4 linked regions of the Tamandua tetradactyla genome follow. The protein of the gene in region 4 purifies or fractionates together with the protein of the main gene of each other region. This does not show direct contact. Links are inferred from orthologs where the notes say so. Each region holds a gene or a part of one and is shown on either strand. Other genes may lie near its edges. The genes, in order: TUBB4B, DNAJA1, PKM and HDAC6.

Region 1 (7,402 bases), on a different chromosome or scaffold from region 4:
TGGGCTTCATCCCCTGTGAGTAGTCCCCACCCCCACGTGCTGCTGGCTCTCAGACACCCCTTTCCCCTTACATTCCCTGCACAGGCAGCTGGGAGCAGGAGCAAGGGCTGGAGGCTCGGCCCACTTACCGGTGCTGCTCCACTGGCATAGAGACAGGTGTCTAATAGCTTCACAGCTGCCTCTGAAGGGCACCACCCCAGGGGGGACTGCCCACCAGGATCCCTGCCCCAGGGCCCACTGACACCTGACTCTTGAGCTTGTAAACTAAGCCAGCCCCCCATGCCCATTTTCAGATAGGCAGGGTACCCTCCACCCCCAGGATCTGAGCTCAGGGGAGCAGATCCCCCAACGAACCCACAGCCCATTTGCACGCTTGTTCCAGGCGGGAGCATGGCCAAGCCCAGGGCTTGCTGCAGCTTTGCTCTCCCCGCAGCCATGCAGGACAGCTATGCACTAACGTTTGGCAACAGCACACGGAAGGCCTTTCAGAAGGAAGGAGAGAGGCGGAACCACACACTATGAAAATGCTTTAATGGTGGTGGTGTCTGTACAGCAGGTGACATTGAGACAGGAAAAGAGTGCACAGCACAGTGAGACGTGGATACCAGAGAATGGGGTGGGAGTGAATAAAGAGTTCACACCACTTGCACACTTGACCAGCCATTGATTCTCTGGCTCTAGGCCACCTCCTCCTCCGCCTCCTCCTCAAACTCGCCCTCCTCCTCGGCAGTGGCGTCCTGGTACTGCTGGTACTCGGACACCAGGTCGTTCATGTTGCTCTCGGCCTCGGTGAACTCCATCTCGTCCATGCCCTCGCCCGTGTACCAGTGCAGGAAGGCCTTGCGCCGGAACATGGCCGTGAACTGCTCCGAGATGCGCTTGAAGAGCTCCTGGATGGCCGTGCTGTTGCCGATGAAGGTGGCCGACATCTTCAGGCCGCGGGGCGGGATGTCGCACACGGCCGTCTTGACGTTGTTGGGGATCCACTCCACAAAGTAGCTGCTGTTCTTGTTCTGCACATTCAGCATCTGCTCGTCCACCTCTTTCATGGACATGCGGCCCCTGAACACAGCGGCCACCGTCAGGTAGCGGCCGTGGCGCGGGTCGCAGGCAGCCATCATGTTCTTGGCATCAAACATCTGCTGGGTGAGCTCAGGCACAGTCAGTGCCCGGTACTGCTGGCTTCCCCGGCTGGTCAGTGGGGCGAAGCCAGGCATGAAGAAGTGCAGGCGTGGGAAAGGCACCATGTTGACAGCCAGCTTGCGCAGGTCGGCATTGAGCTGGCCGGGGAAGCGCAGGCAAGTGGTGACACCGCTCATCGTAGCTGACACCAGGTGGTTGAGGTCCCCGTAGGTGGGCGTGGTTAGCTTGAGGGTGCGGAAGCAGATGTCATAGAGGGCCTCGTTGTCAATGCAGTAGGTCTCATCTGTGTTCTCCACCAGCTGGTGCACTGAGAGAGTGGCATTGTAGGGCTCCACCACTGTGTCCGACACCTTGGGCGAAGGCACCACACTGAAGGTGTTCATGATGCGGTCAGGGTACTCCTCGCGGATCTTGCTGATAAGGAGGGTACCCATCCCAGACCCAGTCCCCCCACCCAGGGAGTGGGTCAGCTGGAAGCCCTGCAAACAGTCACAGCTCTCGGCCTCCTTGCGCACAACATCCAGCACCGAGTCCACCAGCTCTGCACCTTCTGTGTAGTGACCCTTGGCCCAGTTGTTCCCTGCCCCACTCTGACCTACAAGAGAGGGCAGCAGCCAGTCACTCTCAGGCCAGGCAAGCACCCCCAGTCACCACCCGCTGTGCCAAAGGGGCCAACAAGTGACTGTGTGAGGTGACCGGCAGTACTCATCCTGCAAGCATGCTCACGTAGGCCAAGCTGATAAGGCAGTTACAAGTCGGGCAATGGACCAAAGTCAAACCAGTCCCTCCCTCACAGGCAGCCCCTGCCAATACCCCAGGGCGCCATGCTGCGTCTCCAGCACAGCCTCCCCTCCCTCCCCGGGGAGATTCCCTCGGCAGCCGCCTCCCAGCGGACAGCTGGGCCTCCCTCCCCACATTGCTTGAGGACAGGGGATTGAGTGACGGGGCAGGGGGGTGCAGGGCGGCGGCGGTCAACACGGCTGGGACGGGCGGGGATGACCTTGGGGCGGCTACTTACCAAAGACGAAGTTGTCGGGCCTAAAAATCTGCCCAAAGGGCCCGGAACGCACCGAGTCCATGGTGCCCGGCTCCAGGTCCACCAGCACGGCGCGCGGCACGTATTTGCCACCTGGGGGCGGCAAGGAGGGTGTCAGCGGGGGTGGGGCCACAGGGCGGGAGCGGGGGCGCGGCGCGGTCCCTACCGGTGGCCTCGTTGTAGTACACGTTGATGCGCTCCAGCTGCAGGTCGCTGTCGCCGTGGTAGGTGCCCGTAGGGTCGATGCCATGTTCGTCGCTGATCACCTCCCAGAACTGCGCGAGACGCGGGCGGGCCGGCGGGCGCAGGGCTGAGTCACGCCGGCCGGGCCGCGGGAGAGACCCCGCCCGGGACGGACGGCCCGGCCCTGCCCAGCCCCTCCGGGCTCCGCCCCGCTCCCCGTCCCCCGCCTCCGGCCACCGCCGCGTCGCCGGGTTCCTCGAGGCCGCGCCCGCCCGCCACCCGGAGACCGCAATGCGGGGACGCCGCCCGCCCGACCCGCTGCCGCCATCTTTTCCGAGCCGGAACCGCTCGCCCGAGTCCGCGCAGAGGATCCCGCATCCGGGCCGCCCACCTTGGCGCCGATCTGGTTGCCGCACTGCCCGGCCTGCAGGTGCACGATCTCTCTCATGGCGGCGGAGGCGCGGTCGTCAGGACAGCCTTGAGAATAGGGGAGCGAGCACGCAGACTGCTACAACCGACGCTCCGCGAGTCCTTATATAGGGGCTGTGCCCGCCCCGCCGGCCATGTATTGGGCTGCCAGAATGAGGCTGGCAAGAACCCCGCTTGGATTGGCTGCGACCCCGTCCATCGAGCCGCCTAAGGCCCGCCCTCCCCTCCCCTTTCGCTCTTTATTGGCCAACCGCGGCTTCTGCTCTTCCTATCAAAATGCCCCCTTTCGCGCCGCAGTGCTCTTCCCATTGGGTGTTTCAAATGATTGATTTGTTCTCTCATTGGTGGATTCGGGGAACAGGCCGACAGGCTGGCTCTATTGGCTGAGAGGGGCTAGCGTCTTGGTAACCGCCGCAGTGCAGCGGCCGTGGGCGTGCGCGCGGGCTTGGGGCGCGGGCGCGGGCTTCCGGCAGGGATGGGAGGGGGCGGGGGAAGGGAGGGGGAGGGGGGCCAGTGGCTTTGCTCTCGGGTGAGTTGCGCATGCCCCCGCTTCTCTTGCGCTGCCCTGGCAGCTGTCTGGGATGCGGGGCTCTCAGGTCAGGGGGCTCCGGCCTGGAGGGGGGGTCCCACCCCCCACTACCCCCGCCTGGATGGGGGCGGGCGCGCGGTCCGCGGAGGCCCGGGGCCCAGCCCTTGGCAGCCACACGCAGTGTTGTGGCGACGCGCTGGCCCCACGCCGGTCGCCCTGGTGCCGCTGCCCCAGGAGCGCACAGGCCGCCTGGAGACGGGCGTGGACGGGCCGGGCGGGTCCTGCGCTGCCCTGACCTGGGACTTGGTTTGTACTTGGAGAAAGACTGTAACCGAGAAATCAGGATTTAAGGGATGATTTTAATTACTACATTGTTATATAAATGTTCCTTTTCACTTTCTGGTATATGGGAGTAGTCACGGAAGTGCCTGAACTCTCTAAATTGTATCCCAGCTGCCTTGAACTCTAATTGTTTGTATAGCCCTTATCTTCAGCGCCTGCGATTGTAAAAACCTTGTGACTAACCGTCTGTACCTAGATGTCCAGTTTTTCAACTTTAGAGTCTTGTAATCACTAAGGAAAGTGTTTGCTGGCTGATACTGAAGGGTCTTGGGTCTTTCTGGAACTAATGCACCCCCAAGTTCCAAATGATCTTGATGGTTGAAACTGGCTTTAACCTAAGTGGGCCCACCTGACAGTAGCTTAGACCTGTAACCCACAAGTTACCTGTACCCAATTCCACCATTTTCTTTCATGCATTTAGTGACTAAGCATGTAATCAATCTGCGCATGCTCAATAATTAGAGCACCTGTAATTACATCATCTGGGGCCATAGTGCTTATTATCCTAAACCCTGCCCACTTTTTCTCTAACAGAACTACCTGAATTACTGCAGTTAGGAGAGACAGATTTTGGGTCCTTAGTCCATCTGCTCTCCTACTATGTGTGGTAATAACTCTTTCTTCGAAACCCTGGTTTCTCAGGAATTCTCAGGAATTGGTTATTGAGCGTGTCAGGCAGAAGAAGGCAATTGTTATGTTCTCCCATAACAATTTGGTGACCATGAAGGGACGAATGCCCGGAGCTCTGGAGGCCCAGCAGAGCAGCTGTAAGCCAGGTAGCTGAGCTGAGCCTTTTGCGGCCGCCGGACTGAATTTAACCTAAAGGCTCAGCAACCGGGGTTGCTCTGCTCTGCCGGCACTCCAGAGGCTTTTGCTGCTCCAAGAAAGCTTCAAAGAGAGGAACCATTTGCAGTTCCAGGTCTGGACATCTGACTGGGTGAGTGGGTCATCAGGGTAAGTGTGGGTCGGGGAGTAAATAGGCAGTTTGAGTCCCCTGACCTAGGCCTGGGTCATGCTTCCAGAACAATCCCCAGTGCTCTGGCTCCTACACCTTCTGATTTGGGGTACCTTACTGAACAAAGTCTGAAGCCCTAACCGAATCCAACAATTAACTGGTGTTTAATGAAACTACGTGAGCCTGTTTAAGTGCTAGCCACCGTGTTATCTAAGTATTGGTTAATTGTTAAATTGGTGTGCTAAGAGTTTTATGCCTGTTTAACTGTTAATGATGTATTTGGTGTGTGTTCTGTACAGGGTTTGAGGCCCTGCCTAAATTTGTCTATTGATTATACTCCTGAAAAATGAGTAATCCAACAATTAATTGGTATTTAATGAAGTTAAGTAAGCCTGCTCACATACTAGCCAGTGTGTTACCTGGGTATAGTAAGAGTTGATGCTTGTTTAATTGTTAGTGGGTGTGTTAAGCGTTTAATGCCTGTTTGTTGGCTGGTGTAGTCAGTTATTAATTGATGTATTCCTGCATTTGTATTGGACAGATGTTCCTAAGTGGTTACTTATTACAGAAATTATTTTAAAAAGGGGACCTTTGGGCTGTATTGGAAATTGAAAAGATTTTGGTTATGAGTCTATAAAAAAGGTTTTATTTCTGTTACATAATTTGGCCTCAATATGATTTAAAATGAAAACACTGCCATTATAGTTATTACAGTTAGTTTTGCAAAAAGATAGAAATGGGATGAGATAATACATTCAATCCTTTATGTGTCCCTCTCAGAAGTATTTCTGTGCCTCTGTTTTTTGTGTAACTAATTTTCTATTTGTTTGTATTCATTTTCAATGTATATTCTCATACCTCCAGATGGAAATTGCAAATTAATAAGAAAATTATTAAAGAGTTCTATTTGAACTACTTAGAAATAATTAGGTGCATGATATAAATATATAAATTTATATGTAAAAGTATAAATTCTGAAGTAAAAGGGTAGAAAGAGAAAAAAGCTGTGTGAATGGTAAGATTCAAAACCTTAAGGGGTATAGAAAAAAAAATAGGGATAACAGAGGTTAAAACATAGATGGAAGTGCTAGTGGTCAATGGGAGGGAGAGGTAAGGGGTATGGTATGTATGAGTTTTTTCTTTTTATTTCTTTTTCTGGAGTGGTGCAAGTATTCTAAAAAATGATCATGGTAATGAATGTACGATGACATTGTGAGGCACTGATTATACACCATGTATGGAATGTTTGTATGTTAAGAAAGTTTGTGTTTGTATGTTGTTTTCTTATATGTCAATTTAAAAATTATTTAATTAAAAAAAAGATTTAAAACCTTAGTTTTGTAATTACTATAAACAAACCGGGACATTAGAAAGACTCCTGGAGGCCTGGGAAAGATAGAACTATAAAGCTTCCCCACCTGGGGAATTCCTGGCATTTTTTTTTAAGCAACAGAGGCTCCCAATTTAATAAGCCAAAGCCTCAATTTTGAGGCTTGCCCTTATGAAACTTATTTCTGTAGTGATAAACTGAACCTACTTAGAATTAGTGCCTAAGAGCCGTCTCCAGAAAATCTCTACAGTTGCTCAAATGTGGTCTCTCTCTAAGCCAAACACGGAACTTCCCCCCCAACGCGGGACATAATTTCCAGGGGTGTAAGCCTGGAACTGGCAGCATGAAACGTAACTGGCCCTGCCATTGTGAGACATAAGTTCCAAGGATGCACCGGGCCCTGATATCATGGAAGAACTGACCAAAAGGGGGAAAAGAAATAGAGTTTCAATGGCTAAGAGATTTAAAATCAAGTCAAGAGGTCATTCTGGAGGTTACTCTTAGGCAAATTTCAGCTAAATATTGCAAACTGCCACAATATGGTGTGGTAGTTAGATTCAGTTGTCAACTTGGCCAGGTGAAAGCACCTAGTTCTGTTGCTGTGGACATGAGCCAATTGTAGGTGAATCTCATCTGTTGCTAATTATATCCGCAGTCGGCTAGGAGACGTGTCTGCTGCAATGAGTGATGTTTAACTTAATTGGCTTGTGCTTAAATGAGAGAACGCAATGTAGCACAGTCTAGCAGCTTGGCATTCCTCATCTCAGCACTTGCAGCTCAGCTCGGGCCCTTGGAGATGGAGAAAGAAATCACCCCGGGCAAAGTTGTTGGAACCCAGGGGCCTGGAGAGAAGACCAGCAGAGACCATCCTGTGCCTTCCACGTAAGAAAGAACCTCAGTGGAAAGTTAGCTGCCTTTCCTCTGAAGAACCAACAAAATAAATCCCCTTTTATTAAAAGCCAATCTGTCTCTGGTGTGTTGCATTCCGGCAGCTAGCAAACCAGAACAGATTTGGTACCGGAGAGTGGGGTACTGCTGCGGTTTGCAAATGCCAGATATGTTTGAACGGTGTTTTGGATGGCTAAGGGGAAGACTTTGGAGGAACTGTGAAGAGATTGATGGAGAAGTCTTGGAGGGCTTGAAGAGACTGTTGGTGTAAATGGAACCACCGCCAATCTTGACAAAGGACACAAAAGGGAGAGATTGGAGTTTGCAGAGTGAGAACCGTGGAAGTTCGGGTCTGAAGCCAAGAAACCTCGGCCAGGAGAGTGGACCCACCTGTATGTGTGGAGAGGGTGAGTTTACCCTGAAGGGTGAGGATGAGTCTCCCCTCTCATTGCAGTGGAATAGTTGTGCAGCCTCGGGCCTTGGAAAAGGCGTAGCACGCTCCTTGGGGGACTGGGAGAGCCTGGCTGCCACCATGTGGAGGGGTTGAGCGTGCGCCCCAGAAATGGC
Region 2 (7,111 bases), on a different chromosome or scaffold from region 4:
ATAAGGACACTGTGGATAAAGAAATGAAGTCACCTGTCAATGGTTAGTTAATAAGTTCCTAGCCTAGTGATTCTTCCACAAGGACTTTATCCACCACCAAACAGTACTATCTTACACCTAAATGAAAAAGTTCTGAAACTTCTTCCTGCATAACATGCCCAAGGAACATTTTTGTTTGTTTCAGCTACATGTCACATACCACGAACTATACCCTTCTGCTCCTAACTGCACCTCTGGGTTCCGTATTGTACAGTCCCATGAAGTTAATTCTGCATGCTAAAAGCTATGTTTTTTACTTTAAACTTTGTTATACGGAGTCGGAAATGTAAAGAAGGAAAAATAAAATTTCTAAAGTTTGATGAAGCACACTATTTTCTGGTCTAATATGTTGGCTTCTTATTGATCTAAGCCATATAGGAATTTACGAATAGTTGTTACTAAAAAAACAAAAAATCAATCCTAATAATTTACTAATAAAGCAACTAATTTGGATTGTAGATTTTCTTTTTATAGTAAATTTCTACAAAATGAGCAAATAAAAACATATTTGTTTCCTTGAAGACCTTTGTGAGGACTGAGTAAACCAACAACTTCCAAAGTCTTTTTGAACGGTAAAATCTCAACAGTGAAATTTAATGCTTGCTAGTTTGTTCTGAAACTGGCTTCTAACCATTAAACCCTGTTTGTACTAACTATACTGAGAACAAAGTCAGAGCAATTTCTCTTGACCAGAATACTGTAGTTTTACAGTACACAACCACATTTCTGTTCAATGCTATAAACGTATAGTTTGGTAAAAGTGGTGCAAGATTCAACAGTTAAGTTACTTGGAGGCGACGAAGCTATCTTTCAATCCTGTAAGACCTTGACTACGTCAAGTTTCTGAACACTAACTCACCCTTGATTGAAAAAAAGGCCACAGTACCCACCACTGTGTTGCACCAAAGAGCTGTAAAAACGGCTTAGAAAATTATACTGTTAAACTTTGTCCCCTTAATTAACTTTAGCTTTAGTCTAAAAGCTAAAACTTACTAGAAGCACTTATTTATTACCACTTAATTACCTTAAGCATTTTTAGTTCCATCAAATCTTCACTTACAAAAATTATAAATCAGTTTGTGGCCAGTTGCAACTTTGTACCAACAAGTTAGAAAGCACTGGAATAAATGACGTCACAAGAATTTGCTTTGTTCAATGGCTACTTTAATTTGTTGCATATTGACCAGGTTATTCTTACCTCTCCTTTCTCTCTGCATCCTTCCACCACCTCCAAAAAACATATCAAAGATGTCCATAGGGGAGCCAAAACCCCCTCCTGCTCCACCCTCTTTAATGGCCTGTTCTCCTCCTTTGTCATATAATTCTCTTTTCTTGGCATCAGAGAGCACTTCATAAGCTTGCGAAATCTGTTTAAACTGTTTACAAGAAAGGAAACAAATTTCGTGTTTTTTAAACAAAAGTATAACAAAGCATAGCCACTATATTAGGCACTCTCAATTCCAGGTCCTAAAATATTTCATACGTCTGGCAAAAAACTATTCAGACAAGTTTAAGGATATGTATTACTTGCCTTCTCGCCTTCATTTGGATTCTTATCAGGGTGGTATTTCAAGGCAAGTTTCCTGTAAGCCTTTTTCAACTCTTCCTGGGTGGCATTGGGTTTGACCCCCAAAACATCATAGTAAGTGGTTTCTTTCACCATTTTCTACAGCCTGAAATTAAAAAATGCAATTTTAAGGGACTTTCAATTTGTACTTTCAGTTAGTAAAACCTGTCCTTTGCCAAGATCTGATTAAAATAACACAGCTTCTTAAACTTCAGAGTAAAGATAAGGATTCCTATGATAATTCAGCCCGAGTTCTAACAGACCACATACACACTAACAACTAAGAGAAAAATTCAAGTCTTAGCAGTTGGTTCCCACTCTCCCAAATGAAAGCCTCTGTAAAAACGCGACAATTAACCTGGATTGCTTATTTCCTATCCCCAGAGATGGTGACAAAACAGCAGTCATCCAAAGAACACCACCATATTCAGTCCATCGGTTATTACATTATCATTGTCTTCAGTAAATTCGATGAACGCCAAACACTAAGAAAATACATCTGGGCTCGACCGGGGGTGGGTGGACAACGTGGTTTATGGAACTCATTAGGAACATTACTTTCAGAGAGTAAGCGCCCCTCCCTCCCATCCTGAGGGACAGCTCTCAATCAAGGAGCTTATATCTCCTCCGCTTTCATCGCCGAGTCCCTCCTGCCCTACAAGCCAGTGTCAACCACTGTATTTACATCTCGCCAGGTTTCTCCCCTCACTTGGCGCCGTTTCCTTCCTTTCTCCTTCCTACCCTGTATCTAAGAGGTGGGGGTAGAAGCCCAGGCCTAAACAAAGAACGAAGGCAGGGAGAAGAAACGAAAGCGGCAGCTTCCGCCCCACCCCTCCCGCAGCCCCTGGCCCCTACCTCCCCCCGCGCCTGCGCGCAAAGGCGCCCACTCCGAGCGAGCGCGGGCGGAGGGGGCGCCAGGGCGCGCGCGGAGGGGAAGCGGAGGCGGAGACGGCGGCTCCCTGGGGACCTCAGGCTGGTTGGGGGATGGTTACGTGGGGGGGGGGGGCTGCGTGGGGGGGGGGCTGCGTGGGGGGGCACTCAGAGAAGGCCTCACGTCCACTTACTGGGTACCGGGGATGGACTGTCGGAGTACAGTCCGTGGATACCGGAATGGGGAATCGTGGATACAGGAACCGACAACCCTCCCGCCCACGCGGAGCTAACCGCCTCTAACCGCGGCTCCACCTGAATCCCCAGTGCCTCAAGAGTGCCAGCCTGGGGACGAAGGAAAATGCGAGGGCTGAGACTCACCGGTGAGCAGGCCGAGGCTGGTGAGGGGGAGCGGGAAGGAGCGCGTCGCTGTGCGCAGCTCAGGCACCCACCACTCCTCCACCTCTCACCGAGCGTTCTGGAAAGTTCCGGCCGGCGCGCCGCAGCCGTCGTCTTTTGTAGTCGAGCCGGGGCGCGTCACTCGCCGGAAGTCCCGCCCCTCCCGGCCACTGCCACCGCCCACGGTTACCTGGGCAACGGCGCGGGGGCACTTGGGCTGGGAGGGGCTGCGCGGAAGGGCCTTGTGTGGGGGGTGGGTACAAACCCACGTTCTCGACGCTTTTGGAAGCTTCTGGAGCCATTATCTTTCGGCAGCCCTAGGTGCGGAAATCCCGGGTGGACGCGGTTATTGTGCCCTGTGCGGTGCAATTCCGATGCAACTCGGGGATCTGAAACTATTGGGGCGGTTGCGGCTGCTCGATAGGGCGGGGAGGGCTCGGGAGCCAGGCGGCTGCCGTCTGCCGATTGGGAACTTCCCAGAACAAAGCACTGCAGCCCCTCCTCCCCACCGTCGCCTTTTCCCCCTCTTTCCCCTTCAACTGTGTTAGTTCTTGACCCTGAAGTTCTGGGAACTCGCGGAGCAAGAAATGCTGAGCGAGGTGGACCTAGTCCACAGACCCTTCTCAGGCCTTGAAATTTGGTCTTTTTTACACAGTCTAGAGCTTCTTAATTCACCAAACTGGGAGGGAGGAAGAGCCCTTTGTGGATGTCTCGGCCTCCAGGTGCACATTATCTGCCTTAAGCCTTTTTGTCGCCTTCGTATTGAGTGCAAGGAGTCTGGGATTGTGGTAAACAGAGAAACGTTTAGGATTGCTTAGTGCAAGCTGAGAACCATAGCTCCTTCCCTGGCGAGGGATCCCTCCTGGTTGGGCGAGTCGGGGACACGGTAGCGCTAAGAGTGGCTAGCTGTGAAAAATTGTTTTACGTGACTTTTAAGTCCCAGCATTCTGTGAACTTGGATCTAGAGTCTATGAAGTGAAACGTTGGGTATTCAAATGTTGGGAAGGAAGCATAATGGAAAACGGTGTCCATTTTCCTGAATGTAATACATTAAATTTATGACGACTATTTAGCACCAAAGAAGCAGCAAAATTGAGAAAGCATGGGCCATATCTCTTGGACTTAGAGGGGAAGCCTTTGAACTAAACCAGAACGGCAAGATAGTGGTCAGGAGGGGAGAGTTTCTAGCGTTAGATTGATTGGGGAAAGTAAAGCGTTTTGGGGAAAATGACGGTTATAGGGAGTTTTGAAAAGGGAGAAGAGCATTCCTAGGAAAGGATAAAACAGAAAAGGTTGAGAGGTGTGGGAAAGTATGATGTTTTTAGGAAATTGTAAGTAATTGAATACAGCCAGAGCTAAGGCTGCCGGAGTGGCTGGAGGTGAGGAGTCAGGTCGTTGGGAAATATCTCCATGCTTTGATATATCTTGCCAAGCTAAGAATTTTGAACTTCACTCGGAAGCATGACCCTGCCCTTCAGCCTTATTGCCCTCATTGATTTAAACGGGATACCTTTCAACCAAGCTGTCTGTAGTTTCTCAAATGCAGTTTTTCAAGTCCGCGTGATTTTGCTTTGCCTGTTAAACACTTAAATTTTCCAGTGTTACATATAACTTATGAAGTGTAACCCACACTTAATTTAAAGCCTAATATTGCCAGACGGTAATTGCTACGGCGTGCAATATAACGATTTTCTAAGTCATGGTATCTGCCCTCAAGGAGCTCACCACGTAGTGAGGGAACCAGAGACATAATATATTAAGAATATTTGGGGTACCAGAAAAGACAGTGTTCTATTAATCCATTCTTGGAAAAAAAAATATTTTGGTGCCGATTTGGGGAACTGTTTACCATACAATTAGGTTTGCCAAGCAGAAACCAGCAGATGTGAAGGCATGCATGGACATGAACAATAAATAAGCCATAACTAAATATATTGTTCTTGTGTTACATAAGAGTTTTAGTCCTGGAGTTCCTACTTTACTGTAATTTAAGTTATGCATTTATGATGTTAATATTGATTAAGCAAATGAAGTAAACATCAGTATGGTATATATCAAATGACTTCAACCAAGAGTTTCCACAATGACTACTACTATGTTTAGTGTTTCTGCTTCAGAAACCCACAAGTTTGAGAACTGCAAATGTGATACAAACATGAAGATAACTACTTGGCGCAGTGAAACGTGATGTTGAAGATAGTTTTAAAATGTGCAAGCTCATATAGTAAGTGAATAAATAATGGGCATAAAAGTTGGTTAATGAAAAATATATTGCTTGTGTATGCATAGACTACTTCTGAAGATACACAGTAACTTGTATGGTTGCCTATGGGGAGAGCTGTGGAGAAAGGGACTGGGGGGAGGGGACAGATGAGAGAGGCATTTCACAATGTATCTTTTTTTAAGCTTTTGAATTTTTAACCCACAAGAATGTAGTACTTACTAAAAACTCAGCTTAAAAAAGTATAAAATTCTTCCCTCTCAATTCAAGCTTTGAGCTAGTAACTTGTAACCCCAACAGCAAAGTTAGGTCATAGTTGCCTTAAAAGCCACCCTTACATATGTTCGTTTGACAGTTTTTCCTTGATAGAACCTATCTCGAAAAATACATTCTGGCGAATAATCTGGCACCTTAATAGTAGAAGTTTTGACACTTTTTTTTTCTTTAGAAGTTAATGCTTTTAAGAAGCATTTTTATTTACATAAAATACCCAAAACAGCGATAAGTTTATGTGATTTTTTTGTAGAAATGGGATCATATATAGCATAGTGTTTGTACCTTGCCCTTTTTGCTAAATTTGCTGCTATGTTACCATGCATATCATGATAAATATCTACCTTCCTATTTTCGATGATTTCATAGTATGTAGTATGCAGGACCATAATTCATTTAACTGTTCCCCTGTTGATGAATAATTTTATTTTTACAACATTTTACAAGCGGTGCTACAGAGGAGAGTTCTCAAGTAGATCTTTGGGTACTCATGTATCTATTTCTGTAGGAGGAACACTTAGAATTGAAACTTCTGGGTCAAAGTGAGTACAGATTCAAAATCGTAATAACTTTCCATATAAGTTCTATCAGTCTGTACTGCCCCCAGCAGTGTGAGTGGGCCTTGCCAACATGGAGGGTTCTTTTATTATTATTTTTAATCTTTGCCAGCTTTAGAGATAAAAATGATACCTTATTGTTTTTTTATTAATTAAAAAAAGATTAACTAACACAACATTTAGAAATCATTCCATTCTACATATGCAATCAGTAATTCTTAATATATCACATAGATGTATGATCATCATTTCTTAGTACATTTGCATCAATTTAGAAAAAGAAATAGTAAGACAACAGAAAAAGAAATAAAATGATAATATAGAGAAAAAAATAAAAATAAAAAATACAAAAAGTGTATATAAAAAAACACACAAACAAAAAAAACTATAGCTCAGATGCAGCTTCATTCAGTGTTTTAACATAATTACATTACAATTAGGTAGTATTGTGCTGTCCATTTTTGAGTTTTTGTATCTAGTCCTGTTGCACAGTCTGTATCCCTTCAGCTCCAATTACCCATTATCTTACCCTGTTTCTAACTCGTGCTGGTCTCTGTTACCAATGACATATTCCAAGTTTATTCTCGAATGTCGGTTCACATCAGTGGGACCATACAGTATTTGTCTTTTGGTTTTTGGCTAGTCTCACTCAGCATAATGTTCTCTAGGTCCATCCATGTTATTACATGATTCATAAGTTTATTCTGTCTTAAAGCTGCATAATATTCCATCGTATGTATATACCACAGTTTGTTTAGCCACTTGTCTGTTGATGGACATTTTGGCTGTTTCCATCTCTTTGCAATTGTAAATAATGCTGCTATAAACATTGGTGTGCAAATGTCCGTTTGTGTCTTTGCCCTTAAGTCCTCTGAGTAGATACCTAGCAATGGTATTGCTGGGTCGTATGGCAATTCTATATTCAGCTTGTTGAGGAATCACCAAACTGCCTTCCACAGCGGTTGCACCATTTGACATTCCCACCAACAGTGAATAAGTGTGCCTCTTTCTCCGCATCCTCTCCAGCACTTGTCATTTTTTGTTTTGTTGATAATGGCTATTCTGGTGGGTGTGAGATGATATCTCATTGTGGTTTTGATTTGCATTTCTCTAATGGCCAGGGACATTGAGCATCTCTTCATGTGCCTTTTGGCCATTTGTATTTCCTCTTCTGAGAGGTGTCTG
Region 3 (7,804 bases), on a different chromosome or scaffold from region 4:
TACTTGGATCCAGAATGATGTTCTGACACTGATCACAAGGACTACCCTCCAGGACTAGTCCTACAGAAAGAGAATACCTATTGAGCACTGTGTTAGACTCATTCACGTACATCATATCAAACATCAACCTATGAAGCAGGATTTGTTCTCAACTTTTTAATTTTTTTTGCATGAGCAGGTACCAGTAATCGAATCCAAGTCTCCGGCATGGCAGGCCAGAACTCTGCCTGCTGAGCCAACCGTGCCTGCCCTCTCAACTTTCTGTTAAGGAACTGGACTCTTATATATTAAATTGCAGGACATGGTCATAGAACTAGTGAGTGAAACTGGTACTAAAATATGGAACCCAAACTCTTCAATATTATACTGCTTCTCAGCAGAAAAATGACTTTGATCTCCTTAAACTCATTGCAGCAGTATTTCACTATGCATCTAATGTGAGCAAAGATATGCTAAGTCTCTGTTAAGAGTGTTACGGCAGCATTTTCATAACGGGTGATCAAAATCTGTACTGAAGGACAACAGTTTGCCACTGGATTTCCAGTTTAATACAGGTGCATATAATCCCGGGAACATATCTATATTTAGAACTTTAAACTTATATTGCACATATTCCAGCATTGCATTTTCCAGATCACTTGCACACTAGTGTTGCCCAGCACTGTAGTTCATCCTCAGCTCAGGGGTCACATAGGGCCATTTATGCCATCCCCCTTTCTCTGGATAGGGAGGAAACTGACTCCCTGGTAGGGCTTGATATTTTTTTCTCTCAACAACTACATGTCCTTTCACAGTTTAATAACTAAGCATTTACTTTCTGTTGACAACCAAAGGAATGAGAAAAGGCTTACAAAAGAAATAAATAGAAAAAAATTTATCTAAAAAAATTTAAGCTGCCACTTTCTTCTCCCCAGCTTATCTGAGCTAACAGGAAAGCAGAATAAAGTCCTGTGATTCAGCTGCAGGCACAGTGCCTGCTTGAGCAGGTTACACCCATTGGTCTTATTTTCTAGGAAAACGAAAGAAGGAGCCTAAGAGAACAGATCCACTATTTTGAATGGGGAAACATATCTACTCTCAGAGGTTGGCTGAATGAAGGCAAAAGTTGACAGCTGTTTCATTGATAACAGTGTTCTCATCACTGGTTATTGGCTAAAAACTGGGGAATTGGAAAATGTCTTCTAAAAAACTGAAGAAAAGCTCCAACAATACTGATTTAAATAGACAAGGTTGAAAATGGAAATGCGGACCCCTGCATACATTATCAACTTTAATGATATTCCTTAATAGCTCTGCCCTAATATTAATGTTTTACATTCGCTTTTTACTCTCAAGCACTCGTTCTGCAAGATTCCAGCCCCCTATAAATGTATTCTCAGGGCCTCAACCAGTCCTTCCTTGTTCCGGGATCCTAGGATAATAAATAGACTTAAAGACAAATGAGCATTGGGCTCCCTCTCCCCGCCCCCCTTAGCTCCCCTCCCAGCCCCGTAGTGCCTGAGTCGCCTATGAAGGGGGCCTGGGCCGCCTACCATCCCATGTGTCTCCATTCCCCCTTCTGGTCCCGTCTTGGGCGCCACACCTCCTGTTCGGCTGTTCTACGAGGTGTGTGCTGGGACAGGCATCCAGAAGGGTGGGGAGTACTCAGCATGGAGCTGGGAGAACACCGTTCGTGGACTTAGAAATTTGAGAACTGACCGATAGCCCAGGGCAGCTGGGTTGACTGGGTTGGGAGCTGAGAAAAGAGACCCAGTCCCGCAGCCCAAGTTGGCGGCAACAGGTGTCCGGGGCGCCTGGGGGTCCGGGAGGGAGGTCTTCGGGGTTCCGAGGGCGGGTCCTGCTACCTCGCCGCTTGCCCATTGGCTTTTACAGTCTGTCAATGAGGTAATTTTTAATCATGTGTCCTTCCGCTGCGGAATGTAGTTCTCCCCAAAAAGGCAACCTGAAGGCGCGTTCCGCTTGGGCTGCACTTCTTACTGAAGGTGACTGAACCGAGCGAGAACGCGGAGGGGCGGGTCCAGGGTGCGGAGAGCCAGGATTGGGTGAAGGGCGGGACCGCGGAGGGAGTGCAGCGGCTCTGCAGCCGTGATAACCTTGAGGCTGAGGCGTCTGATTCCCGCAAAGGAGCGTCGCGTCTAGAGCTCCGCTTACCCGACATTTGCAGCGCAGTTTGAGCAACACCATCCGGAGGTGAGCGGCGGGGAAGGCTGGGCGGTTCAGGCGCGACCCGCTGGACTTCGGGTGGTGCGGAATCCTAGCCCGCCTTTCCCTCAGGTCACCCCTCCAGGGGTGGTTCAGGATCCTGAGCATCTTGGACCGGCCTGGGGTGAGAGGAGAAAGGCTGCTTGCGCCTACGGCCTGCTCTTCAGAAAGCCTTAGCTCTCTTTCCTTTCTCAGATATGTCAGCCAGCCCCTGTCATTCCTCAGTCCCACCCCTCTTCTGGTTTCATCCTCTCCCTCCTCAATCTGGTTCCATCTTCGCCTTTCTTCTTTTATTCCCTCCTAATCTGATGTCTTCCTCGCCTTCCTGTTCTCCCCCATCCCCCACTGTGTTCCCCTGCTCACCCTCCTACCCTTCCGCCTTAGTACAAGACCCATTCCTCCCCCTCGTGTTCAGCTTGTCCATGTCCCCATCATTTCGATGCTTTCCTTGTAAACGCTCCTCTAAATTCCCCTTTATGTCCCATCTCTGTTCCGCCTCCATTCGGGTTCCGTCGGCCCTTCCCGCGTCCTTGCCCCCTCATGTCTACCCCTTCCCACATTCATGTGCTCACTCCCGCTCCTCCCCCTCTCACCCCCTCCCTCATTCATGCCCTGGTCCCCGCCCTTTCCCGTCCATTTTGGTCGCGTCCACGCCCCCTCCGTTCTGGTCACGTCCGCTCTCCTCTTCCAGGTCCCCCATCTCAGTTTTGTCCTTCTTCATCCTGGCTTCCCAGACCGTCAGGAGAAAACGGCCTGTGGTCTTGGCGGGAGGCAGTGGGTCACCGCCCGAAGTGTACTGGTCGCCCGGCTGAGTCAACTGTGCAGCCTAAGGGATGCCAGGCTCCCTGGAGGGGATGAGGCGGCGGCCCGGGGCACAGGATTGTGTAACCCTAGGCCCTCCTCGCAGCAGGGGAAGAAGTGATGGTTCCTCCTGTGGCAAGTTCCTGTTTCTTCCCCGGATTCCATGAGGCGGGGGGGCGGGGGGGGCGGGTGCTGCAAGAAGTCTGCGCTGCCCCGGTGGGGGTGGGGCGCGTCGCGCGGCTCCATCTCGCCGCGGTGAGGCTGCACGTAGCGGTCCTGTGCCCGGGACCTGTCCCGCCAGATGGCTGGCCCTGCGGGGCAGTTACCAGCCAGACCTAACCGCCCAGCCGAGAAGCTGCTGGATGCTTTCCCGTGGTCTCCTCGCATTTTAGTCACTCACGGAGTTCCTTGTGTCTGCTGACGTTTATTAGCAAATGCTCCCTGACTGTAGAATGGAGAGGCCACGGGGTGGAGGGAGCAGGTTAAGCGAGAGGAGAGGGGAATCTGAAGAGCTCGAAGCCACGTGTTGCGTACCCTCCGTAAAACTCCTGTGCCAAAGCCAGTTTTGGGGAGTAGGGGTGATATACAAGAGGAAATCGGGATGCCCACAGCGGTTACAGCTCCCAGAGTTCACAATCCAAATAGAGGATATGTATTTTATTACGGTAAGTGCTATGAGGAAGCCACTAGCCTCGTGCTGGGGACAGAGCGGCAGGATGCCCACAAGGTGGCAGCCACACTGGATTTGAAGAAGCAAGGAAATCACCTTGTAGTTTGAAGGTTATTGAGAAACACAGTTATAGAAAGGCATCCCTTGACTTCTTATATAATCTTCTCCAAACCTAGAACATTGCTGTTTCCTGCCTCCAACCCCATGTATGTAAAATGAGCCCAGAAGTTTCAGTAACAATGGGCAGAGGCATGGGTGAGTTGTGGAGAAGAAAACAGACTTTAGAATCAGGTTGACTTCACAACATACTGAGATGACTGAGCGAATTCAGCCTCTGGACGTAGGTTTCCTATATGTAAATGGGAGCAATATTATCTGTATAATTGTTGAAAGGATGGGTTTCTGCACACACCTACTGATGTATATGTAAGTAAAGACACAGTGCAGTGTCTAGCATCTAGAAGGTACTGCACAAATGGCAGTTGATAAAATCTCATCTCTCCTGAGATGTCCAGGAGAAATGCCTTCAAATTCATTTATTATTTTGGTCACTGAGCACAGTTGCTTAATTCATAGTAGACCATGAGGGCCTGAACTTCTCAATTTGTCTCTCTACCATCCCTAAGCACATACAGTTACTCTTCCAGTCAGGATCTTTAAATGCCAGAAATCTGAAACCAGTCCCCTGAGGAATTCATGTACATTGTTTACAAAGTAACTAATAATATTACTTTGCAAACCTCCACTGGCAACCTGGGCTCTTTGGTCTCATGAGATCTCTGGTCTTCTAAGCCAGCTGATGAAAGGAAGGCAGGGAGAGGAATAATTTCAGGCTTTGGTGTTTGGTTGTAAGAGTAGAAACAAACTTGCAACACCAAGACTGAAATCTTCAGATACCAATCCTTGCAGGTTTCCAGGTGAGATTCAGGGACTTAGTTCTGTACTGGTAGGTATGAAGCTAGGAATCAAGGCAGGGATAGCTACCTCCAGTTGGCAGTGCTGAGGGTGTGGCCACTCCCTAGGGTACAGAGGAGGGACCTGGATCAGGACTTCCTCTGCAGCAGCATTGTTACCAAATAATTTGCCTCCTGGTTGCGTGAAGGTGCTGTTGGTAATACATTATGCTGTTCTGAGGGGAAGGGTATGTAACCCATCACCAGGTGGGTGAGTGGGAGGCTGTGGGCGGAAGATGACTCAACCTTTCAACTTAGCTGCTTTTGAAAGAATTCTCCTTATCGGGTGAGTGGGGAAACTGCATTGCAGTACTTGGAGGCTTGAGAAGTCCCCTCCCTTTTCAGTAGTCAAATAATGAAGCATGCGTTTTTGCCAAATAAAAATGTCTCAACTAAATGAAAAATTATTGGGTCAAATTCTCAGGCTCTGTACTGCCTTAAGAGCTTAGGTGCAGTAGCAGAGCCCTGTGTCCAGGTGAGGCAGTCTATCTGTCTGCATTCCTGAGCCTTTTCTGTGGTGGGCATAGCAGCCTCTCAGTGGGTTATCCTTTGAGCACAGGGGCTGAAGTGGACATGATATTACTTGATTTTTAATTTATTTTGTTTCAGCTTTTATGGAGGCAAGTGAGGATGCATTGTCTTGGCAATAGCTAAGACTGGGGATCAAGGTAGAGGAAAATGATGCATTTGACGTCATTGGTATTTCATAATCACTCCAAGTGTCCACAGTTAAATCCCAACCACAAGAATGAGTTGTCCTGTGAGCAGTTTTATTACAACCTTGTTGAAGATCTTTGTGAAGTACATATTTGGTAAAAAAAAAAATCTTATGGGACCTTGAGTCATCACTTTAAGCATCAGTTGTGGTATATAAGGAATAGTGCTGTGTGACTAAATGTAAGAAATGTACCTTTCTTAATACCACTGTGCTTTTGGGGAGCTTGCGTTTTTTCTCCAAGAGCCAGACTAGACTGGCTAATTGATTAGTTTGATAATTTGGGGCTTCGTTAAAGCATTTTAGGAGAAGATGAGCAGCACGGGTGGTAAATAGTGGGATGCAGCCTCTGCAAGACGTTTTGGCCTGGTTCAGCTGTTCAGCTAAGGGATCACAGGGGGGTTGCCAAGGGGTGCATTCCCACGCCTGCAATGGTATGTGTCTGGCTGCACGTAGGAGGGACAGCCAGGCTGCAGTACCTCTGGTGGCCACTGAGACTCCCTCCACCAATGTTCCCTTTACCCCCACCCCCACCCTGGCCATGTCCTTAGGCAAAGCTCCTGGAAAGCTCTAAGCCTTTCATTAACTGACCCCAGCAAGCTGTGTTTGAAAGCCAGTCAGAGGCTGGGGAGGGAGTGGGGTGGGCTGCCAATACCAGCTGTTGTAGGGCAGCGAGATTGTTGCTCATAGCTGCTAGCTAAATATGCAGTCAAAATATTATTTGAATGGAGCCCATCCTGAACACCTTTCATCAACATCCAGATACTTTTTCAACTTTAAACAACTGGTGTCTCTAGAGATGACTCCAAAAGAATTACCTGGTCAGCTGAGTAACAGCGATGACATATAGCCATTCCCCATTTTGGAAGAGACCAGGAATTTTGAGTTAAGAGGTAGGGAGGTAGGTGTACGTACTAGTAAACTTTCTAAACAAAACTATCCCAATATCCCACTTTTGTTACTACGTTAGAGAGCAGACTAACAAATGATCATCCATTGGGTTGGCAAACATTTTTGGGGGGAAGGGTACATGGTTTGGGAATTGAACCCAGGTCTCCCGCATGTAAGGTGAGCATTCTACCACTGAACCACTTGTGCACCCTGGCAGACATTTTAAATGCCTGACAATATCAAATGTTGGCAGAGGTGAAGGAAAGCAGGATTGATAAAACTGCATTAGAAAGCAATTTGGCAATAAATAGTAACAGAATAAACATATTCTATCATCCAGTGATTCCATTTCTAGATAAAACTCATAAATACACAAGAATACATGTACTTAAAGAGTTTTCATAATATTGATTGATATAGGGAAATTGTATTAATGGTGGGGGTGGTGATGGTTACCAGTAGGGTGACACATAAAAAATGGACTAGATATACAGTGGACTAGTAAGGAAGTTAAAATGAATTAATTAGATCTATATGCCAGACTAGAAGGATCGTAAATGTAGTGCTGAGTATAAAAAGCAAATGATGACCCAAAAAAAGGATATATACAGTATATATTTTAGACTAATTTTTTAAGAACACAACAATACCATAGTATAAATATAGATACACTGTATATAGACTCAGAACTAGAAGGAGACAAAATTCATGGCAATGGCTGGGTGGCAAAATTCATGATGGCATGTAGGAAGGTTGGTTTGAGGATGGAGAAAAACTGAACTGATTATTTGTATTTCGTATTATTTTAAAAAAATCTACAAGAAAATATGGATGAATTTTGTGGTCTGTTCTGGGTAGTAGAAATATGGATATTAATTTGTTTCTTTTATTTATTTTAAAACAAAATAAGAAGTAGTTCTATGAAGGTCAATGTCAGAAGACGAGTCATACAGTCATACTAACTAGGTCAGTACAGGCACTACCCAACCCCTGCTCCCCTCCACTGATTGAGGTCAGCTCCTCTAAATTCTGAGCCAGTGCCTCCCCTTGTTGAGGCATTCACCTGCCCTGCTTGCATCTGACTTTGGAGGGAGGGCCCTTGTTGCTTCTAGAATGGGTATTATGCCCAAGTGGCAGCTGAGGAACTCTGCCCAGTTTTTTAAGCCTAGGCTTAAACATAGCAAAGCATAATAAAAGTTTCACTCAAACTTTCCTCCTTCAAGGTGAAATCAATTCTCAAACTTTCAGGATCGAACCAGGAAATCCTAGGTATCCAAGGACATAGGAATTTCTCTAGTTTGCTGAAGTTTAGTTGTCCATTTGGGGCTAGACCCATTTATTATTGGTTTTTGTTCTTTATTTCACACTCTAGTTTGAAACCGGGCCTTAGACACCTGCTGAGATTCAGGTTGCTTAGTTCTAGTGCTGAAGAAGTAAAGAGGCGCAAGGGAATTTTATTTGAGCCTACAAGTGAACTCATTTTGTTTGTTTTTACAGCTCAAGACTTTAATGTGTAGTGAAAGATGAACACAGGCATTCTCCAAAGGAGGAGAAGCCAGCTCACTTTGTTTG
Region 4 (7,276 bases):
TTATTCTTCTCCACATCACTTCTCTTTCTAACATACTATATAGTTTATTGGGGGTTTGTTGTTGTTGTTTACTGTCTTCCCCCTCTAAGATGTAACCTCCATGAGAAAGGGATTTCTGTTTGTTCTGCTTACTTTAGTATCCCTAACTCCTCCATAGATGCTAAAGATTTATTCAATAAATAAAAGGCAGACACAGTTTTTGCCATAATGAGTCTTATGTTAGGATAGATACTAACTGGTAAACAAACACATAAATATAGTAATTAACAATGACATGGGCTATGAAGATCTCTAAGACCAGGCGTGTTAGAGACTGGGGCAGGAAAAGACATTTGTGAGAAAGTCTCCTTGGGATGTGAATGATAAATACACATTAGCTGCTAGAGACGAAGGCAGAAACCTATCTCCTGAAAAGGGATCAGTCAGGGTAAAGACCTGAGGTGAGAGAGTTCCTGGCAGCTTTGAAGAACAGCAAGAGGACCAGTATGGGTAAGGCAAGGTGACTGAGGAGGGAGGGTGGAGTGATGAGACCACAGAAGTACGGCAGGGCCAGATCACATGAAAGAATGAAGAATTTGGACTTTACCTTACGGGCAGCAGTCTTTGCTTGAAGGATTTTAAGAAAGAGAATGTCATACGATACACATTTTTTTTAGGCTGCTGTGTGGGGAACAGACTGTAGGGATAGGTGTGGAAGGGGGGAGGGGGGAAATGAGGAGACCTCTGCAACATTCCAGGTGAATAGTGATGCTGAGTGCAGTGGGGGTGGTGAAGAGAGGTCAGATACTGAATATAATTTCAATGTAGAGCTACACGAATTTGGTGATGGATTACAACAAATGTGAAAAATAGGGCCAATGTGAGTGTAATTCTTCAGTTTCAGCACAAATCCCCTTTCCTCAAGAAGCCTTCTGGGGAAATGGGGATGCTAACTTAGGGCCATATCTTAAACACCCTTGAGTCCCCTGGACTTAAGTTCTCCTTCATTACACACTTCATACTGCTGTGTGGCTGTTTAATGGTCTGCTCTCCTACTCACCTATCAGCTTTGGGAGAGGGGATTCCTGTCTGTGTTTTCCACATTTGTATCACTAATCGGTGGCACAAAGGAGGTGCTCAACAATTGCTTGCTGGCTAAACGATAAGAACCCTTTCAAGCCTGAGTCACGTGTTCCTAAATCAATCAGCTTCCACAGTTCCTAGGCTGGCATAAGAAATGATTTGCTCTTCCTGATGGCTCAAAGTGGGTGGATGTGTGTGGTGCGGGATGGCCTAGAGGACCCAGCCTCACCTGTCATCCCAGAGGCAATGGAATTCATTTAGCTGCTCATCAAACACCAAGCCGGTGCCAGACAGTGCCCTGGCCTCAAGGTCCAGATCCTGCAGGGAAAAAAATGGGAGAGACAGATCCATTTAGGGCCTGAGTCAGAGGGGTCATCCTGTATGGTCCAGGATGGAGAACCTCAAGGTCTCAGGCTTTTGGTTGCTATGGGAGGCCAAACCGAGTCCAGGTCCCTCTCACCAGCCCTTGCAGCCCCATGATTAGGTCTTGCTCGGCTGTTGGGCTGAGCTTCTTCATTCTGCCTTTCTTCTTTACCTCCGCTAGACTGGGGCTGGAGCGGGGTCCAGCACCCTTTTTAACACCTCGCTTCTGCCGGGCAGAGAGAAGGGTCAGAGTCCAGGGGACGGCCCGCTGCTCCCCCTCCCCCTCATCAGAGCAGGTCTGAGGCCTCACCGCAGTGGTGACGCTGGAGTCGGAGACGTGGGGGGGCGAGTGGGGATTGTGCCTATTCCTTCGCTGCCTGGTGGAATCCTGGCCGATGGAAGTCATGGTCGGGGAGACTGCGACCTGCTGCGGTACTGGGGGAGTGGAGGTGACTGTGAGGGGGCTGGAAGTGCCTGAGGACCCCCACATTCCTGCCCCCTTCTCAGGCCCCACCCCATATACTATACTCCATCCATGCCTTCTAAACTCCGCCTCTCGTAAGACTCCCTCCCTTCACTGGGGTTTCCCTTCCACCTGGTCCCGCCCTTTCCACTAGACTCCACCCCTTTGACACTATTTTCTTACTCCTTTCAAAGCCTGGTCCTTTCACAGAGTCCTAAAGCCCCAGGCTCAGTCTGTTCTAGGGCCTGCGCTTCCCAGTTAGTCATCGCCCCTTCCGCTCCACCAAGGCTCATCCCCAGACCCTTTCATTCCTCTAAACCTAGTCCAGATTCCAGGGGAATTCCAGGCTGCATTCACATACCTGCCCTTTCCCGCCTATCTCCTGGGATAGTCACCCACCCCTCTCACTTAGCCAGACCCAGCCCCTGCCCCGACTCCACCCTGAGCGAAGCACTTAACTCCACCCCTTACCGGGCCGCACTTGCCCTTCTGCCAGATCCCGCCCCTAACGTTTCAATAAACCGCGCCCCCTCAAGGGACGGCTTCTTTCTTTCCACAGATCCCACCCCCGCCCAGACCCTACTCCCTGTTTCACCCAAGCCGCTTCGGCCAGTCCCGAGCCACCTCCCGCCAGTCTCCGCCCCCGAGGCCCACATACACCAATCTCTGGGTTCCGCTCACAGAGCGCAGCCCCTTTCTCAGACTCCGCCTCTTGCTCGTGCCGCCAAGCTCCCAGCGGCCTGCGGAGCACCCGGTGCCCGAGCCCTTCCTCTCCATTGGGCACGCTTTCTCGACCGCCAGCCCAGATCCCACCCACACCGGGCACCCTCCTTTCCGCGAGGCCCCACCCCTCGCGTCGGGCACACCTCCCGCTACTTCAGAAACGGGCGGCTGGCCGGCGCGTCAGCATGAGGCGCCAGTTGTTCAATACGGGATTTAAGCTTAAGCTGTACTTTCCCCCAGCTATCGTTGCGGTCGTCCGAGCTGCCACGGCCGTGCTCCTCCGCCCCTACCCCGTCACCTTGGGAGCCCTTCGGACCCGCGGCAACCGTGCCCTGCGACGATTCAAGACAGGGAGAGGGCGAGCAAGAGAAGGAAGGAGTTGGGAAGGGGCGTGTTCACACCGCCCCGCCGCTTCCCGCGCGGCGCCGGGTGATGACGTAACGCGGGCGGGTTGGCGCCGGCGAGTGAGGTTGAGGCGGGATGATGGCTGGTGGAGGCCAAAAATAGGAATGATGGTAACAATAAATGTGGTGGTTTATTCAGTGTTTCATGCTTTGGCTAAGGTGGCACACGTGGAACACTCACCGAACGTTAGCTGTTAATAGTCTGCTGTGACAAATGGGTGATGGGGAAGAGGGGCCCCAGCAGCTGTGAAGATAGCAAGTATTATGTGCCAGATGTTGTTAGCCACGACTCTATGAGGGATTTCCCATTGTTAACGCTACTTTGCAGATAAGGAAGCAGGTTCTTCGATTAGCCATGTGACCTTGGTCAAGTTCCGAATGTCTCTGTGCTTCAGTTTCCTCATCTGGAAAATTGTGATAATAATAATAGTGCCCAGGGCCAGAATGGACCAGGAGTTTTTCACGGCTGGCTGGTCTCCCTATCTGCCCCCTCCACCGGATAACCTCTGCTCCCAAGTTGCATGGGAAAGTGTGAGTGTGCCGGCCTCGGGCTCCCGTACCTCCACCCCCACCCCTGTCTAAATATCTGCCCCGCGGGGAGGCCGGTTTGTCTTTCCTAATCTCCCTCTCTCATTCTCTACCATTTCCTACCCGGCCGCAGGCTGGGGCGGGAGAGATAAGCGGTCTGGGGTTCAGCATCGCTGACTAATAAGCAGATTGACAACCTCACTGCCCAGTAGCCGGGCCTTCTGACTCCTTTGAGGTTCCCAGTTCCAGCCCCCTCTTCCTTTTCACTCTTTTCCTGCTGTCTTTTCTCCAAGTGGAAGAAGGCCACAGACTTAAGACCTTTAAACCTCCACATACACCAAAGAAACACATATGAAGTGATACACACTGGGGGACATTCTGGGATTGTGATGTCTGCAAAGCAGGGAGTCTTGTAAAAGGTCAAGGCCTATAGTTCTGTATAGTCAGGAGATTAATTCCTGTAGAACAGGGGTCAGCAAACTTTCGATAAAGGGCAGGAAGGCAAATATTTTAGGATTTGTAAGCTGCTTGAAGTCTCTGTGGCATAATTTTGTTTTCTTCTCTTTTTCACACCCCTTTCAGAAGGTAAAAACAGGCAGTGGGCTGGGCTTGGCTGGCTGACAATAGTTTTTCAATACTTGCTGTAGAGTGTCATTCTTTGGTTTTCATTACCTGGCTAGGATTCTTTTCAAGGATGAAAGCAGGGGTTCCAGGCTGCATGAGGAGAGGTATTCCTTTTGTGTGAGATGTGAGGACAGGGACTCTTGGATAGGATCAGGTCACTCCTGACCTTTCTCTACTGTGTCAAGCAAATGTCCCTTGATAGGGGAGTGCACAGAGGTTCCTGAACTTTCTGTTCCTCTACTGGATCAAGCAGGGGTTTCTATACAGCACAAGAAAGGTGTTCCTAGAGAGCTCCAGACTAGGGGAACCTGTCCAAGTTCAGGATGGGGCTCCTTAGACTGAATTATGGCAGGTTCCTACAAACAGATCAGGGTTAGGACAGGTTTTTCTGAACAGGTTCAGTACTTGTGATCATATAGATAGTAAGATCATATGATCATGCCTAGATTCAGGTCAAGAGACTGTTATTCATTAAAATAAATTATGCTAGCTGCTATAACAAACCAACCCAGAATCTCAGGGGCTTAACAAATGACTAGTGGATCATTCATGGACCAGGAGACCTCCATTTTGTGGCTGTACTCTCCTCTAGGTCCTTGGAGATTTTTTTCTCTTCAGCCAGTAGGTGGGGAAGGAAAGGGAGAGTGGAGGTCTGCCAGGGAAGTTTTTATGAGCCAGGAGAAGTGGTATGTATCACTTTGGCACATGTTCTGTTGGCCAGAATTCAGCTTGTGTCCCATCTGGCAGAGGTTGCAAGGGAGGTTGGAAAAGATAGAGTAGGCTCAGGAAGAAAGGGAACAGGCTTTGATGAACCCATGGCAGAGTCTACTCCAAGATTCTATTGACTCCATAGAGCTCCACTGTCCAATATGGTAGGTACTAGCCACATGTGGCTAATTAACCCTTGAAATGTGGCTCGCCCTAATTGGAATGGGTTATAAGTGTAAAATACCAAATTTACAAAGTTACAAATTTGTATTTGTAATTTTACAAATTTGTAAATTTAAAAATTTACAAATTTGTATTTGTAAAATACAAATATTGAATATTTGTATATAATGTGGTGCTGGTTTGAAACTGTTCTGTACCCTAGAAAATGTCATGTTCTTTTAATCCATTCTTGTGGATGCAGACCTGTTGGGGTGGGATCTTTTGATCAGGTTATTTCCATGGAGATGCGGCCCACCCAATTCAAGGTGAGTCTTAATCCCCTTTCTGGAGTCCTTTATGAGAGGATGCAGAGAAAAACCCAGAGACATTTTGGAGAGACCTCAGAGCCGAGAGAGTTTAGAGAGAGAAAATGCCCCGGGAGAAGCAAGAAGGGCCCACAGGAGCTGAGGGAGCCACACTGAAGCCAGAAGCTGGGAGAGAAGGATCAGCAGACATTGCCATGCCCCTTCCCATGTGTCAGAGGAACCCCGGATGCCATCAGCTTTTCTTCAGATAAGATATTGTCCTATTGATGCCTTAATTGGGACATTTTCATGGCCTTAGAACTGTATATTTGTAAACTAATAAATTTCCATTATAAAAACCAACCCATTCCTGGTATATTGCATTCTGGCAGTTTTAACAAACTAAAGCAAATGGGTAAAGTAAAATACACCATTAAAATTAATTTCACCTGTTTCTTTTCCTTTTTTAAAAAATGTGGCTGCATGAACATTTAAAATGACACGTGACTCTCATTATATTTCTGTCGGACAACACCGCTATAGAAAATTATGTTTAAAGTATTGGGACAGGCGTTCTTGTACTGAGCAGGGATATGGGTTTCTCTACAGAGTCCAGTTAGTGTTTCCTGTCTGGGATATGGAAAATGATTCTATTACAATGCAAGGCAGGTTTATAGGAAAAGATGCTAGTTGGAGACATTGTGGCGTGAGAGGGAAGGATGTGAAGGGCACTTTTCTCCCTGAACAGGTAAAGATTAGATGCTCCTTTGGAGGCCAGGAAAGTTACTTTCTATAGGATCACAACATGCTCAGGATGGTCAGGATTGGGTTCCTGTAGAGAGAGCGGTGGATCAGATAATCATGTTGAGGGTTAGGCCTGGGGTTCTCCTGCAGACTTGAGACAGATGTTCATGGAAATTCAGGCTATTGGTTGTTTAACAATTTCAGAACAGGGGTTCCTATAGAGAGTAGGTATATTTGTATTGGTTCATTTCTTGGATTCCTGTGAAGAGTTAGATCAAAGGTTCCTGTTGAGTAAATGTAGGGTTTTCTGTAGCAACTCAAGACACAGGTTCCTGCTGAGAGTCATGGAGGGTAGTCCTGTGCAGGGTCAGGACAGAAATCCTGTACAGTTAGGAAGGACACTGTTTCCTTCAGAGATTCAGGTGAGTGTTCTTCTTTTGCAGCAGGACAGTGGTTCTTTTTATTTTTTTTTTCACATGGGCAGGCACCGGGAATCAAACCCGGGTCTCCGCCATGGCAGGCAAGAACTCTGCCTGCTGAGCCACCATGGCCCGCCCAGGACAGTGGTTCTTATACAAGGTGAAGACAGGACTTCTGGGACAAGGCCAGCATAAGGGTTATTATGGAAAGTCAGATCAGGGCTTCCTGTTCAGTGTCAGGACTATGTTTCCAGAGAGTAAGGTCAAGAGTTCCAATAAAGGATTAGATCAGAGGTTCCCATAAATGACTAAAGTAAAGGATTTCTCTTGAGGTTCAGGAAAAGGTTTTCTACAGAGAGTCAGATCAGAAGTTCCTGAGTGGTTGTAAGGAAAGGGTTCCTGCAGAGGGTCAGGGAGGTAAATCTAACATAGGGGAAGGAAAAGTGTTCCTACATGGTGTAAGGACAGGGAGCCCCATAAAGCATCAGTAAACAGTACCTGTATAATGTCTGGGCAGGAAGTCTGGTACCAGTTGAGGTCACAGGGGGCTCCGTGAGGGTAGAGAGTCAGAACAGGGGTCCCAGCCACAGCGTCAGGAAATAATTTTCTACAGGTTTGAGACTGAGGCTCATACTGAGAGTTGGATTATGGATTCCTGTAGACCTGATGGTGTAGGGCGTGAGGTCAGGGATTGTGTAGAATGGGGTCAGGGGTTCCTGTACATTATGAATGCAAGAGTTTCTATATTCGAATCAGAGCTGGGTTCCTGAA

What was found.
Region 1: the proteins of HDAC6 (region 4) and TUBB4B purify together in Homo sapiens (affinity purification with mass spectrometry, with the first as the bait; 4 studies listed by BioGRID). This does not show direct contact. The link is inferred for Tamandua tetradactyla from reciprocal best matches to the Homo sapiens genes HDAC6 and TUBB4B.
Region 2: the proteins of HDAC6 (region 4) and DNAJA1 purify together in Homo sapiens (affinity purification with mass spectrometry; 4 studies listed by BioGRID and IntAct, with this or other methods). This does not show direct contact. The link is inferred for Tamandua tetradactyla from reciprocal best matches to the Homo sapiens genes HDAC6 and DNAJA1.
Region 3: the proteins of HDAC6 (region 4) and PKM purify together in Homo sapiens (affinity purification with mass spectrometry, with the first as the bait; 4 studies listed by BioGRID). This does not show direct contact. The link is inferred for Tamandua tetradactyla from reciprocal best matches to the Homo sapiens genes HDAC6 and PKM.

Annotation. Positions count from the first base shown.
Region 1 is NC_135328.1:130,711,608-130,719,009, forward strand, and holds TUBB4B (tubulin beta-4B chain), read right to left. Parts: upstream 2,951-7,402; 5' UTR 2,811-2,950; coding exon 2,754-2,810; intron 2,455-2,753; coding exon 2,346-2,454; intron 2,273-2,345; coding exon 2,162-2,272; intron 1,739-2,161; coding exon 678-1,738; 3' UTR 523-677; downstream 1-522. Other genes in the region: CIMIP2A (ciliary microtubule inner protein 2A), read left to right, coding at 1-15, 383-522. UniProt on the Homo sapiens protein: Tubulin is the major constituent of microtubules, a cylinder consisting of laterally associated linear protofilaments composed of alpha- and beta-tubulin heterodimers.
Region 2 is NC_135328.1:62,870,957-62,878,067, forward strand, and holds the start of DNAJA1 (dnaJ homolog subfamily A member 1), read right to left. Parts: upstream 3,008-7,111; 5' UTR 2,858-3,007; intron 2,402-2,857; exon of another isoform or gene 1,965-2,401; intron 1,713-1,964; 5' UTR 1,703-1,712; coding exon 1,571-1,702; intron 1,416-1,570; coding exon 1,238-1,415; intron 1-1,237.
Region 3 is NC_135338.1:70,093,301-70,101,104, forward strand, and holds the start of PKM (pyruvate kinase PKM), read left to right. Parts: upstream 1-4,783; 5' UTR 4,784-4,862; coding exon 4,863-4,912; intron 4,913-7,804. UniProt on the Homo sapiens protein: Catalyzes the final rate-limiting step of glycolysis by mediating the transfer of a phosphoryl group from phosphoenolpyruvate (PEP) to ADP, generating ATP.
Region 4 is NC_135353.1:121,434,222-121,441,497, forward strand, and holds the start of HDAC6 (protein deacetylase HDAC6), read right to left. Parts: upstream 3,016-7,276; 5' UTR 2,910-3,015; intron 2,886-2,909; exon of another isoform or gene 2,755-2,885; intron 2,704-2,754; exon of another isoform or gene 2,547-2,703; intron 2,478-2,546; exon of another isoform or gene 2,360-2,477; intron 2,343-2,359; exon of another isoform or gene 2,250-2,342; intron 1,861-2,249; 5' UTR 1,832-1,860; coding exon 1,736-1,831; intron 1,652-1,735; coding exon 1,523-1,651; intron 1,381-1,522; coding exon 1,292-1,380; intron 1-1,291.